4 linked regions of the Coturnix japonica genome follow. The protein of the gene in region 3 purifies or fractionates together with the protein of the main gene of each other region. This does not show direct contact. Links are inferred from orthologs where the notes say so. Each region holds a gene or a part of one and is shown on either strand. Other genes may lie near its edges.

Region 1 (4,358 bases), on a different chromosome or scaffold from region 3:
GCAGCTTCGTTCCAGAGCCATCACTGCACCTGAGAGCTCCGCAGCTTCCAGCAGCAGCCAGTACTGGCTGATCCCAGGCCAACAAAGCCCTGTATTTGCTATTTCATGTCTTACTGTCAGCAAGGTGCTGCGGATTTCAGCTACATCTCAGCATGGTGCTCATCCCCTGGTTCCACGTGCAAGAAAAGTGAAAAACAACAGTTTGGGAAGGGATGCTTACATGGATACCCACTTATTAACCTCTTAACTCCCAGCAAGATGTTTTTTAAATATGAACTCCCTAATTCAGCGATGTGGAAACATAACACTTGTGAAAAATAAGCGAGTGAGGGATTCCACTAAGAGTTAAGCCACCCATTTTGCATATAGCAAGCCTTACAGCACAATGCATTTAGAAATAACCAGCACCTTCTGTCTCATACACATCAGCTGACTGCCTAAAACAAAGCCATTAACGCTTGCCTTGCTGTCCTTTCTTAAGAGTACAAACCTAAATGGCTTTTCAATAGCAGGAGCTGTCTCCACCTGCACCCTGTGGCTTTGCCCTCTGCCACCCCAGCCCGGAAGGGAGATGCTCTGCAGATCTGCACTGCGTTACAGTCAAAGCAAGACCCGGGACACGCAGTACGAATCTGCATAAGCTCTACCTGCACTGCTCAGTAAGCACTGTTACTTAACCATAGTAGTCGGTGTGCTGCGCTGCAAGGCATGACAGTTGCTATGGCATTCAGCTGGAACATGTGCATCCAGCACCTCCTTTGTCAAACACGCATAAACTGAGACTTTGTTCCCTGGCATTTCACACCCAAGGCAGAAGATCAATAATTACAGTGCAATGTATCACGTTCAGGATTTCACACCAACAGCTTTAGAGAAGAAAACAAAGGAGCCAAATGAATATCTCAACTAAACTGGAGATTCAGAATTTTTTGTTAAGAAATACAGATAGCATTTGAAGCAGAATATCATTTAATATGGCAAGTTTCCAAACAGACGATAATATTCCACAGTTTCAGAGAGGAAACCCTTCCATAACAGAATGGAGTGACACACCGTGTGCAGGGGAAGAGAAGGACCCCGTTTCCCTGTCTGCTCCCAATCACGGTGACGCCAAAAAAGGGCATCAGCTGCCACCGCACTGCGCCGTGCACAAACATCTCAGCGTGAGCAGCCGGCTGCGGCACCACCTCGGTACCGCACGGCACGGCGCTGCTCACAGCTCCTGCCTGGATCGCTCTGCGGGCACCAAGCTCTGCTGGGGCTGCGAGCTGCCACCCGGCTCCGCTGATAAAGGCACACAATAACAACACCTGGAACACGAGCTCTGGACGGGCCGTTGTTGTGACTTCCAGCACTAAACCAATAACAAGGTTATTTTTACACCATCAACGGGAGCTTTTGTTTTTTTTGGTTTATGTGCTGGAGCTTCTTCCCACAACACAAAAGCAAAGGCCGCAGCTTTAAAGTTCCTGGCAGATGTTTGTCTGCCTCCCCAGCAGCTCAGGAGCGGCTCCAGCTCCCACCAACACAGCTCGGCCTCACCGTGACGGAGCAGCACATCCCCACAGCTGCGAGAGGAAACCTGCAGATCCACAGCGTGCAGCTGAAGGCAGCAAGGCAGCTCTGCTGAGCGATACACTGCGGTTTACAAAGCACGAACCGACAGAGAGAGAAAGCAAAGCTGCTACACAACCATAGCTGCGAGTGTCACACAGCACCTCCGGTCACACAACACACCGGGAAGCGCCGCGATGGGCCCGTCAACGAGGAGCTGCGTTTCCCATCCACAGCCGCCCATGCAGAGCAGGTGCCCCGAGCCGAGCACGGCCGGCCCAGCCCGGAGCTCAGCGGCAGCACCGCGGCTCGGCCCGGCACGTCGGGGCCGCTGCTACAACGCCAAAATCTCGCGATCGTTGTCCCGCATTTCGCGGTTGGCGCTCGGAGCTCGGACCGGTCGGCGCAGAACGCGCACACACGGCCCGGCCGCCGCCTGCCAGCCGGGCAGGGCCGAGCGGAGCCACCCGGCCGCAGCCGCAGCGGGAGGCCCGGGCAGCAGCAGCAGCAGCAGCAGCAGCAGCCAGGTGAGCGCCGCACAAAGGGACAGCGGGGCCCAGGGCACAGCGGGGCAGGGCAGGGCCCAGGGCAGGGCAAGCGGCGGCCGCCCGGCCTTCACCTTCACCTGCCCCGCCCCGAGGCCGCGCGGGCCGCTCCCGGCCGCACTCACACAGCGCCCCGAGCCGTACTCACCACCCCATGCCGTACTCAGCACACTGTGCCGTACTCACCACCCCGTGCCGTACTCAGCACCCCATGCCGTACTCACCACCCCATGCCGTACTCACCACACCATGCCGTACTCACCACCCCATGCCGTACTCACCACCCCGTGCCGTACTCACCACACCATGCCGTACTCACCACACCATGCCGTACTCACCACACCATGCCGTACGCCCCCTCTCCGATGTACGAGAGGTTGGTGTATCGCGGCCCCACGTCGAACACTTGGCCCCGCACCATCTCCGGGCCCCCGGTGCCGGTAGAGCCGCCCGCGGCCGCGGCCCCCGCCACCGCCGCCATGTTGTCCGTGCCGGGAACCGCGGCGACTGCGTGCGGGGAGGGGAGGGAGGAGAAAGGAGGGGACGGGAAGGAGGGAGCGAGGAGGAAGGAGGCGGCTCCGCCACACCGCGCTGAGAAGCACCGGCCGGAGAACGGGCCGCGGAGAACGGAACGAACCGACCCGCCGAGCAACCACCGCCACCAGAGCGGGGACGGGACGGGACGGGAGGGGGCGGGGGGCGGGGCGAGACCGGGGGGGCCTCGGACTGCGGTAACCGCAACCGACGGGGAGGGGGCGCGGCGCGCGGGTCACGTGGGCGGCGGGTCACGTGGTGGGCGCGGCCGCTCCGAGCGCCGCCATTAGAGGAGTCAGGTGATGGCGGGAGGAAATGGAGACCGGGATGGGGGGGAACGGGACGGGACGGGACGGGACGAGCACGGCGGGTACGAGCACCGTGCGGGGACGAGCTCCGTGCGCGTCGCTCTGGGCCGGACACGCAGCCGTTCCCGCGGCTCCGTGTCCGGCGCTACGTGCGCGTTCCCGCGCCCACACGGTGCTGTCACACACGGTGCTGTCACACACGGTGCTGTCACACGCAGCCGGGCCGGGCCGTCTGTCTGAGCTGACATTAAAGCATCAGTGACAGAAGGAATGGGAAGGTGTCTCAAGCAGGTCATTGGTTTGATGGCTGAAACACGGCGTTATGTTGAGGGGATGCTGATACCACGAAATGACGGCGGGTAATGACGAGTGGAGAGAAGAAAATGAACAGCATCATTGGGCTTAGAAAAAGCACAAACAGCTGCCCCACAGTGCTGCTCTTGGGGATTTCGTTTTCTCTGCTAAAACTCAAACTGAACAGTGATGCAGGAAACTTAAAGGTAGTTTATAGAAACAAGTAAAGGAAACTTAAAGGTAACAAGTAAAAGAAACAAGGGGCCTGGGAGAAGCAGGGAGAGTGCTGTGCTCTCAGTGCTGTGCTCAGTGCTGTGCTCTCAGTGCTGTGCTCAGTGCTGTGCTCTCAGTGCTGTGCTCTCAGTGCTGTGCTCAGTGCTGTGCTCTCAGTGCTGTGCTCTGTGCTGTGTTCTCTGTGCTGTGCTCTCAGTGCTGTGCTCAGTGCTGTGCTCTCAGTGCTGTGCTCAGTGCTGTGCTCTCAGTGCTGTGCTCAGTGCTGTGCTCCCAGTGCCCCGTCGTCCAAACCAAATGCAGACATCCAGTACAGAAAGCAATTTTCCAAGTGTTATTTAAGGAGACTTCAAGCCTCTGCCTGGAGGAGAAGAAAGAGAAGTAAGACATGTAAGGCATTCTATAAAGATGTATTTTAACTTCTAAGGCAGTCAGCAACCATGGTGATGAATGTGACACAAACTGAAATTGCTCGGATATGAGCTCTGATCCACTGGGAGCCATCCTAAGAGAGTCATAAAGAGCATCAGATGCTAATGACTTCTAATCAGAACCTACCTGGGCCTGATTGAACTGGTGTCATACAGCCGAAAGCCCACGGGACAAGTTGTCATTTAAATGTCATCCACTGCTTCAGCAGTGTAAAGTGACCTCCCCGTGACTGAGAATCTCTGTCATTTTATGCTGTTGGGCAGATAAAAGCAGTATCTTGCCCAAAGTGCAGGGCAATTTGATGCCAAAACAAACTCACTTTCTTTTTCCCCCAGTATTTGTTTCTTCCCTGCTCAGCATTCTGACCGACTTTGCAGGAAGCTTATTATGGTGGTTTATAGATTATGGACTTAAAAGTGGTAAACAGCTATATTTGTTTTGAGCATGCCACGGGGAGCAG
Region 2 (4,128 bases), on a different chromosome or scaffold from region 3:
AGCTTTCAAGGACCAAGAGATCTTCCCATAATATAAACAGATTTCTGTTTCTGCAGGTTTTGAATGAAGAACAACTCAGGGTTTATTTGTTTGAAGAAAACATTTACAGAGAGAAAATATTCTGTCTTTATTAAAAATCTATGATGAAAAGCAGTAGAAAAAACAAACAAACAAACAGAATTACAGAATTATCAAGGTTGGAAAAGACCTAGAAGATCATCCAGTCCAACCAACACCAATATTTCCCAGTTAAAACATATCCCTCAACACAACATCCAAACTTTTCTTGAACACAAAAATTACATTAAAATAACACTTTTTAAGAACACTGTAAACACAGCACGTTCTCCCACAGGTAAAGAGGAGGAAGAGAATGAAGTTTAAGGCATGGAATACTAAACTCTTCATCAGACTATCAAAGTGATTTGCATTTATCAAGAACACGGGAGAAAACTGCAGAAAGGAAGAGGTATGTATGCAGGTACTTTCTATGCATCTTTTAAAGAATAGCCATTCAGATAATTTGGCGGTTGAGGAAGAAAGGACAAACCAAAACAACAAAGGGAATATAAAAGGAACAGATAACCCGTTAGTAGCTGAAAGAAACCACAAGGAACAAGTTCTGGTACATTGGTGGAAGAAAATGACTTCAATGGATGAAATACGCAAACACGTGGTCAATTCCCGGTAGTTTGGTAACAGGGAAACAATGTAACAAGTTTACCTGAAGAATTTGGAAGGTTGTTACATCTGCTCTCCCACGCAGCCAGCTAAAGCCTTGCTCCCTAATGAGCTTTCAGTTACTGGAAGTTAAAACACAAAAGCCACACATACAAAAGGGCAGCTGTACTTCTACCTAGAACGAGTAGTCCCCAACCACAAAATTCAGTACCGCAGTAAACGGGTTTTGTCCGAGTCGCTGATCAAGAAGTCTCCATGAAGTATACGGCACTTCATGAGATTATATTGTATCTTGTGAAGTGGAGGCACCCCTGGTCAAAAAAGCTTGGGAGAGCAGAGGACACAGTTAACATTCCCGTTCAAAGTTAAGGCAACGATTTCACACAGATTCAGCTCTGTGTTAATAAATGTCTGTCAATAAACGTTTGATTCTTCCCTCCTGTCACACTTTCAGCCAGTTGGCCCTGAAAACTGCCAGTATCTGACAGACTGGAATGTGCCTGATGCCTGTACAGGCATCACGTGTGTTGCAGCACTCTACCAGAACCAGACATTCCCATCAGAGCTTCTTGGCACTCAAACTCAAGGGAGGAAACTGAGACCACAGAGCAAAAGCTACAGCAAAGAAAGGAAACTGATGTGGGATGATCACTGCTCCTATCTAACCAGCCCATGCTACACATCTTTGAATCAAGTGGGGAATGACAAGATGGCTTCCCCCACATGTTGAGATCATAGAACAAGACTACTCAAAATACAACCCATTTTTCTTTGCTACTGCTGAAGGAAGGGCTTCCCTTCACTATACAGAAGGAATACTCAAATTCATCAGTGAGCTCACTTGGATACTATCCTTAACCAGGTTGGGCCCAGATTCTCTTCATGTAATAACACTCTGAACTAGTTCAAAGTTATCTATCAACATATCTGCAGATATACAGATACAGTGAGGTGCATTATCGCTTCTACATGTGCTTCTGCCCTAGAAGCACCTCTGCTGGCATCTTCAGAAACAAGGCTGTGTCTCAGCAGCTCAGCTGTGTGCCATTACAGCCAAGTCTCCACACCTATACAAAGAAGCCAGCTGTAATGTAAGCTTGCTAAATGCTACAAGCACATGCCCAGGAGGCAAGCAAAACTCACCTTCCACAAACCAGTACAGCACCTTTTGTGTTATCAGATAGGCCAAAACACACAAGGTTTTTGGACTGTCTGAAAGACTTCAGCAAGCCTGCTCTGCATGATACAGAAATTCAAAGCCATGCCACATGTATAGCTGGGGGAACTAAACAATTGAGTGGGACTTGTATCTGTGGGTTATCAGCAGTGCCTGGGCCAGGATTCACTGGTGAAAGCACTGCACTGAACATAAGAAAGCAGGCTACAGGAGCCAAACTGGATGCTGATAATGACATGGAGAAAACAAAGTGCAAAGAAAAATTGCAAAGAGCTCACTGTTTTTACAAGGATTACAAAAACTAAAAGGCAAAAGAATCAAAGGCATTGCCCACCTTCCCCAAGCCCTATAATCGGAGCAGTTATGGGAAGTGCTTTTTGCTTCAGAAGGCGTTTTGAAAGCAAGGTCATGGAAGTTCAGCACAGAGGTGGCTGAGCACGGCTGCGCTCGCACCTCCCCGCACCGAGGGCCGGGCTGCCAGAGCTGCCCACGGCCTGGGCTGCTGCCCCCCGCCCGGGGAAGAGGAGGAGCCCGGCGCCGAGGCTGCTGCCCCTCCTGTCACATCAACAAAGAGGCCCCCGCCATTATCCGCCCAGGCACCTCCAGCAGCCCCCGCACCGCCGGGCCGCAGCGGAGCCCGGCGCGCAGGGAAGGTCACGAACGCAGACAACCCCGCAGGAAGAAAAGGGCCACGCCACGCTCGCTGCCGGCCCGCTGCCCCGCGCTGGAACGTAAACAAAGCGGCCAGGCCCGGCCCCCGCAGCGCTGCCGCTCCCTGCACACCCGCCCGGCTCCAGCCCCGCTTCCCAGCCGCCGCCACCGCCATCCCTCCTCAACCCCAGGCACCGCACATACCACCTCCCGTCGCCTCCTTCCTCGGCCGCTGAATAATGAACCGGGGCCGGGCCGCGCACACGCACCGCGCTTCGTCCGCCCGGCGCGGCTGCGGCTGCCCGCCCCCTCCGCTCGCTCCGCCCGCACGCCCGGCCCGGCCCCCGCCGCCCCTGAGCCGCCCCTCCGGGCACGGGCCCTGCGGGAGGCTGCAGGCTGCCAGCGCTGCCGCTGAGCCCGGTCTGGTGTCTGCTGGGCTGTGCCTGCTCCTTCCCAGCATTATGCCCTGTACCCGGGCCTGCTGTAACAAAACTGCGTTTTTCAGGTGTTTGCCTTCATGCTCTCCTCCGTTTCCTAGTGTTCCCAGACATCCTGCAAGGCCTTGGCAGTCCTAGCCTTCCCCCTGAACATCTGGAATGGCAGTGCTTTATCTCATTGCTGGGTATCTGGAGTGGTGTAACATCTTCTGTATCTGGTTTGGCACCGTTTGTTCTCTAAGCTTTAGGCAGCTATTTGTGAGATTTTGAGTTATTACCACCACCTTTAGCTCTTGGCACCTCCCATGGGTGCTCTGCTTTGTTTTTACAATGTTCTGTTTGTTATTCTTCCTTTCCTTTCCCTTCCCTCCTCTGTTTTTCTCCTTTCAACCAGCAATACCCCTGTCTACAGACTCCATACCTTGAAGTCATGTCAATATGGCTGAAACAAGCCTTTGTATACTTACACTGCGTAGTACTAAAAATAAAACCTCCGGAAGAGTCTTTAAAAATACATAAAATCTACCAGTTAGGCACAGGGCACAGTGAATTGGACGCTTCACATCTTACTGTCAAACATTGGAATGGCTTGTGCCACATTTTTGAAGATGCAAAATAATGCAGTGAGATTGTCTTTCCACATCTCTGAAACAAAAAATAGATTTTTAACTAGTAAGGATACTGCTTCAGATGTTCCAGTCTTACCCACTGTCATAATGTCAAAAGCTGTATACTACTCACATTCCCATTTTATGGAAATATCTGCACTGTCTGACCTTAAAATTCTCAATACAAACAATCCTATTTCAACCCCTTAAGTTAGAAGTTGTTCCTTTGCAGTTCCCTATAGACCTATACATAACAATTTATAGGAAAACAAAATAAAACAAAACTGTTGTTCAGACTGCTCCCAGGTGTCCCTGGATCCCACTACACTGTAAGCATGTTACCAAGGTAGCCACTCCTGCCTCACCACCTGTCATTCCATGAGACAGACCCAGAAGTGACATAGCCAGCTTTCAGGTTTGAGACTTCCTGTTGAATTATGTTAGATCATGATCAGACATTGCATTCCCTGCCGTGTTTATGTGTGAAAGAGGCAAAGCTCAGCTTGGCAGAAGGAGCAGTATGAAACCCCAGACAACGCAGCACAGCTTAGTCTGTCTTAGATCATACCCATCT
Region 3 (4,189 bases):
ATTAACTAGATTTCCTCTCAAGCTAATTGCGGCAAGGGAGATTCCTGCGATGGCGGATCTCCATCAGACACCCATGCACGTGCACATATATCATTGCTCCGTCCTGAAATAGTATCTTCCATCGATGCTTGTGTGAACATTCAGATATAGGCAGCCCCAATTCCCCCCTCCTGTGCCAACGCTCCCTTTCTCTCCCATCTCAGAGTTGGGTTCAGCCACATGGGAAAAAACAGGACTGGGTTCTGGCTCCAAGGACGTCTGCACTGTGCCCTTGGTTAGGCAATGTCAGTACAAGGAAGAATGCCTGCTGAGGTCTGCCTCTGCTCAGTAGGAAGAGATTTCTTCTTTCCATGTTTCTAATGCAGGCTGGGACAGGAGCAAACTGAGCTCCCATCCCTGCTCTATTTGTTAGCAGGCTCCACTATGTTTGTAGCATGCGGTGCAGCAACCAGCAGCTATGCCTGCCCGTAGCTGGGTTGTGGTGGCTTGCTGGAGAAGGGCTGGCACAGCACATGAGAGCCATGGGCGGGCACACACAAGAGTGGTAAACCTGGCAGAGAACACGCTGTAAGTAAGAGGCAGCACCAGGCCATGGGGTTGGTATCAGTTTGAGGCTTCCAACACGTGCAGTAGGCCGGGTTCATCCCAGGCAGGGATGCACTGCACCGTGTCATCTGCCCTGCCCGAACAAACAGCCACTGGCATGCAGGGGAGGGGCTGCCTGTCTGTCTGGGTGCTGCCCTCTATGGACTGGGCAGATGGGCTTGGAGAAACTGCGGGCCCTTCATTTGGTTCGCTCCATTTCTAAGGCTGTAGATCAGCACACGGGCATCTTCATATGCCCCCTGGAGCAGACAGCCGTGGCCTGGTAGAGTCTCCTTTCAGGAAGTGCCCCAGCCATGGCTTGAAATTGGGTTTTGCAGCATCGCTCTGGGGGGCGAGCAGCCTCAGATGGGGATTGTGAGCAAAATGGCTGCGTGGTGCCTTGGTGGTCCCCGCAGGGTCCTGGAGGTGCTTCCTGGACGGGCTGCCGCTTCACCGGCCGTTCCTGACGGGGAGGGGGGTGGGTTGAAGTGCGGCAGCGGCAGAGCAGCGCTCAGGGGGAGCCTGGAGAGGGAAACGTGCCCGAGAGCAACACGCGCTAAAGGACAAAGGGAGAAGGAGCACGAGCATAAGCGCGCGTCCTGAGGTCGCTTGTACGTGTACGTGTGTATGTGTGTGTGTGTGTGGGGGTGACCCACCGAGGTGGGGGGACGAGGAGGGGGGCAGGAGGGGGGGGGCCTCCCCCCGCTGTGAGCGCGGCTCCCCGCAGCGCCCGCCCTCCCGCCGCCTGTCCCCATTCACAAAAACGCGGCGAAGATGGCGGGCGGGCGGCGAGCCCTTTTTTGTGAATGGAGGCGGTGACGTCGGCCGCGCCCTTGCGCCGCCTTCCCTCCATTCATTCCTTGGGCTGGATGCAGAGGGGCGGGGCGGCGCGGCGGGTAGTAAAGGTTGGGGCGGCCCGGGGCGGAGAGCGGCCGGAGCAGGGAGCGGGGAAACGCGGCCCCGACATGGTGGCCCCCGAGGGGCTGCGGGAGATGGAGGGCAGCGCCCTGCGGCGCCTGGTGGGACGCGAGGAGGCGAGCGGCGGGCGCTGCCTGCTGCTGGACTGCCGGCCCTTCCTGGCGCACAGCGCCGGCCACATCCGCGGGGCGCTCAACGTGCGCTGCAACACCATCGTGAGGCGGAGGGCCAAGGGAGCCGTGAGCCTGGAGCAGATCCTGCCGGCCGAGGGCGAGGTGCGGGCGCGGCTGCGCGCCGGGCTGTACACCGCCGTGGTGCTGTACGACGAGCGCAGCCCCCGCGCCGAGGCCCTGCGGGACGACAGCACCGTGACCCTCGTGCTGCGAGCCCTGCGCCGCGACATGGCGAGGGCCGACATCCGGCTGCTGGCAGGTAAACGGGGCAGAAACGACGGGGTGGGCGCCCGGAGATCCACGGGGAAGGAGGGAGGGACGAGCCCCGAGTGCGGCTCCGTCCCCGGGGCCGATCGGGCCCTTCGCCGTGGGGAGCGCCCCGGGAGGACGCTGCGATTGTGCCGCGGGAGCCGGTGCTGAGGGTCGGGGTGGGGGGTATCAGGAGAAATTCCTTCTCCCGAAGAGCGGTGACGCATCGGCACGGGCTGCACGGGGAGGCGGTGCGGTCACCGGCCTCGGAGGGGTGCAGGAAACGTGGAGATGTGGCACTGAGCAACGCGGTCAGTGAGCACGGCGGGGATGGGCTGCGGGTTGGACTGGACGGTCTTAGGGATCTTTCTAACCTTAACGAGTCTGTTCTTTCGTGCTCTTTGCGTGGGAGGCTGTGAGCAAGCAGGGCTGCTGGGCTGGAGGGGCCCTGCGAGGTTCTGTAGAAGAAAAGGGTTCTCACTGGGTTGGTTCTGACCCCCTGAGAGTGAATGTGTTCCATGGTTTGCTCCCAGCAGTGGTGAGAACGCGTGTGCGCAGAGCAGCAAACCATTAGGAGGCTCTCACGGATGGAGCAGGAGCGCAGCTGAGGGCTCATTGGGAACCTGCTTCGGGTGCTCAGCCACGAGCTGTCACTTTGTTGGGAGCTGAGTGCTTGGGAGGGACCTGGGCAGCCTGACTGTGAATGGCAGCCAGCCCATGGCAGGGCATTAGAACTGGATGGGTTCTGAGATCCATTGCAACCTAAGCCATTCTGTGATTCTGTGATGCCCGTGTGGTTCTCAAGCAGGATTGTCTGGGGTTAGCAATCCCTTATTTCTAAGAGTGAAATCTTAGTTATTTTGAGGTATGGGCTCTTCGAGTCTCAACCCTTACACCAGAAGCCTCCTGCTTGCTTACCTTAGAAATGTAAAAGTTCCTTCTCACTCCAGTTTGCAAGAGTCACACAAACCTGGCACTGTGTGTGTCCAAAGGCATATTTACTGGGTAGCACTTTGCTAAACTGCCCTTCAATTTGATGAGGAGCATTGAAATCTTCCCTGTTGGAAGGGTCACTTTGCCTTTCCCAGGAGGAAGTTCATATTTCCACATGAAATATGGGCAGCTTTCCCATCTTATAGAATCACAGAATGGCTTTGATTGAAGGGAACCTTAAGGCTTCCAACCCGTTGCTGTAGGCTGGTTGCCCCCCATCAGCGTAGGCTGTCCAGGACCCCATCCAGCCTGGCCCTAAGCACCTCTAGGGATGAGGCATCCACAGTTTGTGGTGGTGTGATGACCATGAAAGCGGGATCGGGGTGATGGGAATGTCTACCCAGCACATCTGTGTTCTGGGTGTTCCTCCAAATTCAGCCAGCGAGACTGAAAAGGGCTTTCAGGTTCTGGAAATGCAGCCTCTGCAAACTGATCTTCTCGTGTGATGCACATTTACTGGTGTGTACATTTCCCTGCTGTAAGGGGCTGGAATTCTTCCTTGCGGAAGGGAAGAAAACCATAAAGGACGTTGAGATGCTGAATCGGTCTCCAGCTGCCAAGGGGCTCCTGGGGTGCCTTGTCAGATAAGCTTGCATCCACCTGAGAGCCAGAGTTCGCATTTCCATTGCTCTTGAGAACACCCAACCTTGTTCAGTGTCTACTTAGAGCTAAAGCTGGTGTAAGGAATGTGTCCTGCTGCATGTGCTCTGCCAGGCCCGGGCGATGAGCACCAGTCCTGCACTTGGAATGAATCTTCAGCAGCTCTCCTGGGAGACAGGGCTCCATCTGGCTGGATTCATGGCAATAATAAAATCCCTGACTTGTGTTGGCTTTAAGGCTCTACATCAGCTGACAAGGATGTCAACCATGCTGATTTGATTTGAGTGAGGACAGGAAATTTGCCCAGAGGTGCTTATCTGCTGCCCTGGGAAGCAAACAGGTGGCAGCTCTGTTGGATCTTCCTCATGGGGAGGCACAAGGTCACACCTCTGACATCTCCTTGGCAGCTGCTCTTGGCAGCTGCAGTGAGCAGCTCTTCTATAGGCACCCACCTCTGTCCAGCCCACCCTGTCCTTGGGAGGCAGGGACAGCTCTCTGCAGAGTGGCTTTGCTGTGGGTTAACATCCAGGGCCTCCTGTCTGTTGGTCTGCGGGCATTGGGACTGAGGGAACCTCTCTGCATTTTGTGTCTGAGAAAGTAGAGAATTGAACAGTCTGTAGTGCAGGAAGGCATTGGAGTTTCAGGTCACTGGTAACAAACCCTCTCTCCAT
Region 4 (3,560 bases), on a different chromosome or scaffold from region 3:
GTCTGCTTACATGCAAGCACAGCAGTAGAACCTAAACATTTCAGAGCAGTTTGGGATGAGGTCCCTGGCACTGAAGTCTGCAAATGCACTGCTTTCATAGCATACCAACAGGATACAGAAGAGGGGCTTCCCATTTCCTACAAACATGAAGCATGAGAGGAATTAACAGCACAGACAACTCCAAGCAGTTATTTTCCTATGAACTCAAAAAGAGATGGACTCAAATTTAAAAGAAATTCACTCCCAGAAATGATCAACTCTAGTAATGCTAACAGAAATAAACAGTAATAGATTTGCCTCCCTGCACACTGCAATGACTCCACATGCAGCAAAATTGAGAACTCCATCATACTGTGAGTAGAAGAAGCCATACGTTAGTTAGAAACAAAGAGGAAAAATAAATAAATAAATAAATCACCATCACCCAACCAAACAACACAAAACTCATTTCCTTGGGAAGCACATCAAAGAGAAAACCTCTAAATTCCAGTTTGGAAATCATGTCACTTGTAAAGGATACGGTCTGTACCAGGGAACAACGTTCTTCCAGTCAACAGTTCAGCCATAATGCATCCCACTGACCAAATATCAACTGAACAAAATAAAATAAATAAAATCGTAAGGCAGAAAAATGAAGTCTCAATAAAATCACTCTATCCAACAATTACAACCGCTGTTACACTTCAGTAATCTCACGGTGTTGAAAGAACCTGAGGTTGCAAGGAAACTGGCACTGCTCATTAACCACTTTGAGTAAGACTTTTCCCAATGATGACAAGATAGACAACTTTTCCTTCCAGAATGTATTGTGCATTGGACACCAAAGAGCTATGGAGGCATCTACATAATCAAGGAAGAAATCTGTTAAAGATAGCTATAAGGAATGAATCTGGTCTTACATAAATGCCACCTGAACAACCACCAACTCCTACATTACAGACAAGACAGGCCCATGTACACACAGGAGGAAAAGACAAAACACAGAATCAGTGAGGTCTGAAATTAGAACAGCATGTTATTTGTATTGACTAGTAAGCATTCATGTACTAGAAAAAATCTGCCCTTTCTTTCCCTTACTGTGCTTGATCTGAAAGCATTCTTTTATTCACAGGGAATAACGGTGCGCTGCTGGGAAGCCAATCAAACCAGGAGGACGTGATGAAAAAGAAGTGGCTAAGAAGAAAGGGACACTTCTATGCATCTTTAGCATTTCTGTACTCCATAATCACAGACATTTTTAAAATGCATTTCCAGCAGCTTTCTAGAAAGGCACCGTCTTTCTCACCTAGATACATTCTATTCACTTACTTTAAAAGTAGTTGTGCTAGGAAAAGGGGTAAGTAGTGACAAGATTGCTCCAAGTGCAGTTTCAAAGGTTGAAGTTTAAGGAAGCGTTGTAAACACTATCATAATAGTTCATACCTTAGATATGAGATTGTGGTTTTAAAACTAATTTGCGTCTTACTTCTTTTAATCACTGAAGTGTAATTAGCGTAACTGTCAATTTACACAATCAAATGGAACAGAACATGAACCTTCCCTGGACCTCCCCACAAGGAACTCAGGAACCAAGAAGCCTTTTATTAGTAAAATGGATCACCTGTTTGGTTGTAATGCATCCAGTTCAGCATGATCTCTGGAGCTCTGTACCACCTTGTAGCCACGTAGCCAGTCATTTCATCATCAGTTTGTCGAGCCAAACCAAAATCCAGGATCTACGTAATAAAAACAACAAAAAAGACATCCGCCTATTACTGCAGTGGTACCACGTCCGGCTGTTTGCTCCTTACAGCTTCCAAGTCTTGCACTGAGTGGAGGACAGGTGGCGCAACCACAACAAAACTAAATTTCATGACTTGTTAAAAGGCGAGAACAGCACAGCACTCCATCAGCATCACACCCAGATATCTTGTCTCTGAAAATAGCAAAAAGTCCAAACCACAGCTATTAACTGCTTATTCTCAGATTGATTTAACAACAAAAACAAACAAACAAAACACATGAACACACAGAAGAGAGATGCTTCTATATAAGCATCTTCACAACATTTTATGACTGAGAAGGACACAACTAGCTTGTTTCACTGAAGTATTTCCATGAAAAATCACTTTGCACCCTTCATTTCAAGGAAGATTCAGACAGCATTCACTTGGATCACAGTCAAACAAGTCACATGCCATGACTGTCTTACCTTTAGCTCACAGTCTTCATTTACAGCTAAGTTACTAGGTTTTAAATCCTAAAAAAAAATAATAAAAAAATAAAAATTAAACAGCATCAGCATTAATGGCTGTATATATGCTGTTGTAAAAGTCTGAATTAGATTAAAATTTAAAGTCCGGTAGAAAAAAATCAATCATCTTTGTGGCTTTCAACATCAATTCTCCATATTCAAAAAAATAATTTTATCCCAGAACCAGCTCTATCCTGCGCTGTCTGCAGAGGTGCAGAATACAAGCAAAAATGCATGTTTATGTATCTACAGGACTTGCGTTAGTGGTGTAATAATTAACAGCGAACTTATTCCACAAAGAGACAAGCCAAACAGAGGTAGGAGAAGAAATTAATGATCAGGAGAACCATCACTATCCTCTACTGTTCTACAAAAATAATTCTCAGACAATTTCTCCTTAATTCAACAGAGGCTACACTGTAAGATTCTATGTTACATTTTTTAAAGACATTTTGTCCAGTATAGGAAGTAATCTTAGGGTAAATACTTACTCTGTGTATTATGTCAGCTGAATGGATGTACTGTAAAGCAAAATGACAAATAATGACATACAACAGCTCAAACAGCCTTCTTCTCATTTCCTCACTAGACAACACTGTCCTATCCCACCCTTGTCTGCAGGAGGAACCAAGTACAGCATCAATAGAGCTTGCAAGTACATCAGTGTTTCACCTTCAGTCTCCCCTTAGGAAAACCCACAAGCGCTACTGCCAGGAGTGGAACAATGTAAGAAAACCAAACTGAAGACAGAGATGAGGTAGATTAAAGTAAAGCACACATCGTGACTTTCTAGACTTTGTCCACAGGAACATATCTATGTATCTTCTGAAGTTGTACACAGCTTTATGGATACGCCAAAGAGGTATGAAAGGAAAAAAAACAATAACAGGTTATCCTACAATACTTAGGAACATTAAGGAAGCCCCTCTGTGTATTCGTATGAAACTGTGAGGATGTGACATTCATCGACAAGCTCCAATTCCTGCTGAGGAGCTATCAGCATTCAGGCAACACAGGAGCAGGTACCTTCAGCCCCCGAAGAATCTGGTATATGAGGAACTGCACATGGTCATCTGTGAGTTTCTGGCATTTCACAATATTGTTTAGATCTGCTCCCATGAGGTGTGTCACCAAGTACCTATCAACAAAAGGAAACACAGGCAATGAAGCAATCCCTTCAACACGATTAGCATAAGAATTTCTTACAAAGCTCCTGTAGCACAGCAGCCTCCTGAGCATTTTACTGAATAAAATATAAATCATAGCTCATTAAATAAAGTAGCAGATCAGTGCGCTAATTCCCACAGCACTGGCCAATAAAACAAGC

The links.
Region 1: the proteins of DUSP4 (region 3) and MAPK1 purify together in Homo sapiens (affinity purification with mass spectrometry; 6 studies listed by BioGRID and IntAct, with this or other methods). This does not show direct contact. The link is inferred for Coturnix japonica from reciprocal best matches to the Homo sapiens genes DUSP4 and MAPK1.
Region 2: the proteins of DUSP4 (region 3) and MAPK8 purify together in Homo sapiens (affinity purification with western blotting; 3 studies listed by BioGRID and IntAct, with this or other methods). This does not show direct contact. The link is inferred for Coturnix japonica from reciprocal best matches to the Homo sapiens genes DUSP4 and MAPK8.
Region 4: the proteins of DUSP4 (region 3) and MAPK14 purify together in Homo sapiens (affinity purification with mass spectrometry; 3 studies listed by BioGRID and IntAct, with this or other methods). This does not show direct contact. The link is inferred for Coturnix japonica from reciprocal best matches to the Homo sapiens genes DUSP4 and MAPK14.

Annotation. Positions count from the first base shown.
Region 1 is NC_029530.1:385,739-390,096, reverse strand, and holds the start of MAPK1 (mitogen-activated protein kinase 1), read right to left. Parts: upstream 2,805-4,358; 5' UTR 2,581-2,804; coding exon 2,438-2,580; intron 1-2,437. UniProt on the Homo sapiens protein: Serine/threonine kinase which acts as an essential component of the MAP kinase signal transduction pathway. MAPK1/ERK2 and MAPK3/ERK1 are the 2 MAPKs which play an important role in the MAPK/ERK cascade.
Region 2 is NC_029521.1:15,676,593-15,680,720, reverse strand, and holds the start of MAPK8 (mitogen-activated protein kinase 8), read right to left. Parts: upstream 2,825-4,128; 5' UTR 2,714-2,824; intron 1-2,713. UniProt on the Homo sapiens protein: Serine/threonine-protein kinase involved in various processes such as cell proliferation, differentiation, migration, transformation and programmed cell death.
Region 3 is NC_029519.1:44,028,676-44,032,864, forward strand, and holds the start of DUSP4 (dual specificity protein phosphatase 4), read left to right. Parts: upstream 1-1,369; 5' UTR 1,370-1,391; coding exon 1,392-1,935; intron 1,936-4,189. UniProt on the Homo sapiens protein: Regulates mitogenic signal transduction by dephosphorylating both Thr and Tyr residues on MAP kinases ERK1 and ERK2.
Region 4 is NC_029541.1:531,785-535,344, reverse strand, and holds part of MAPK14 (mitogen-activated protein kinase 14), read right to left. Parts: intron 3,372-3,560; coding exon 3,260-3,371; intron 2,755-3,259; coding exon 2,725-2,754; intron 2,240-2,724; coding exon 2,192-2,239; intron 1,716-2,191; coding exon 1,601-1,715; exon of another isoform or gene 593-1,600; coding exon 521-592; intron 1-520. UniProt on the Homo sapiens protein: Serine/threonine kinase which acts as an essential component of the MAP kinase signal transduction pathway.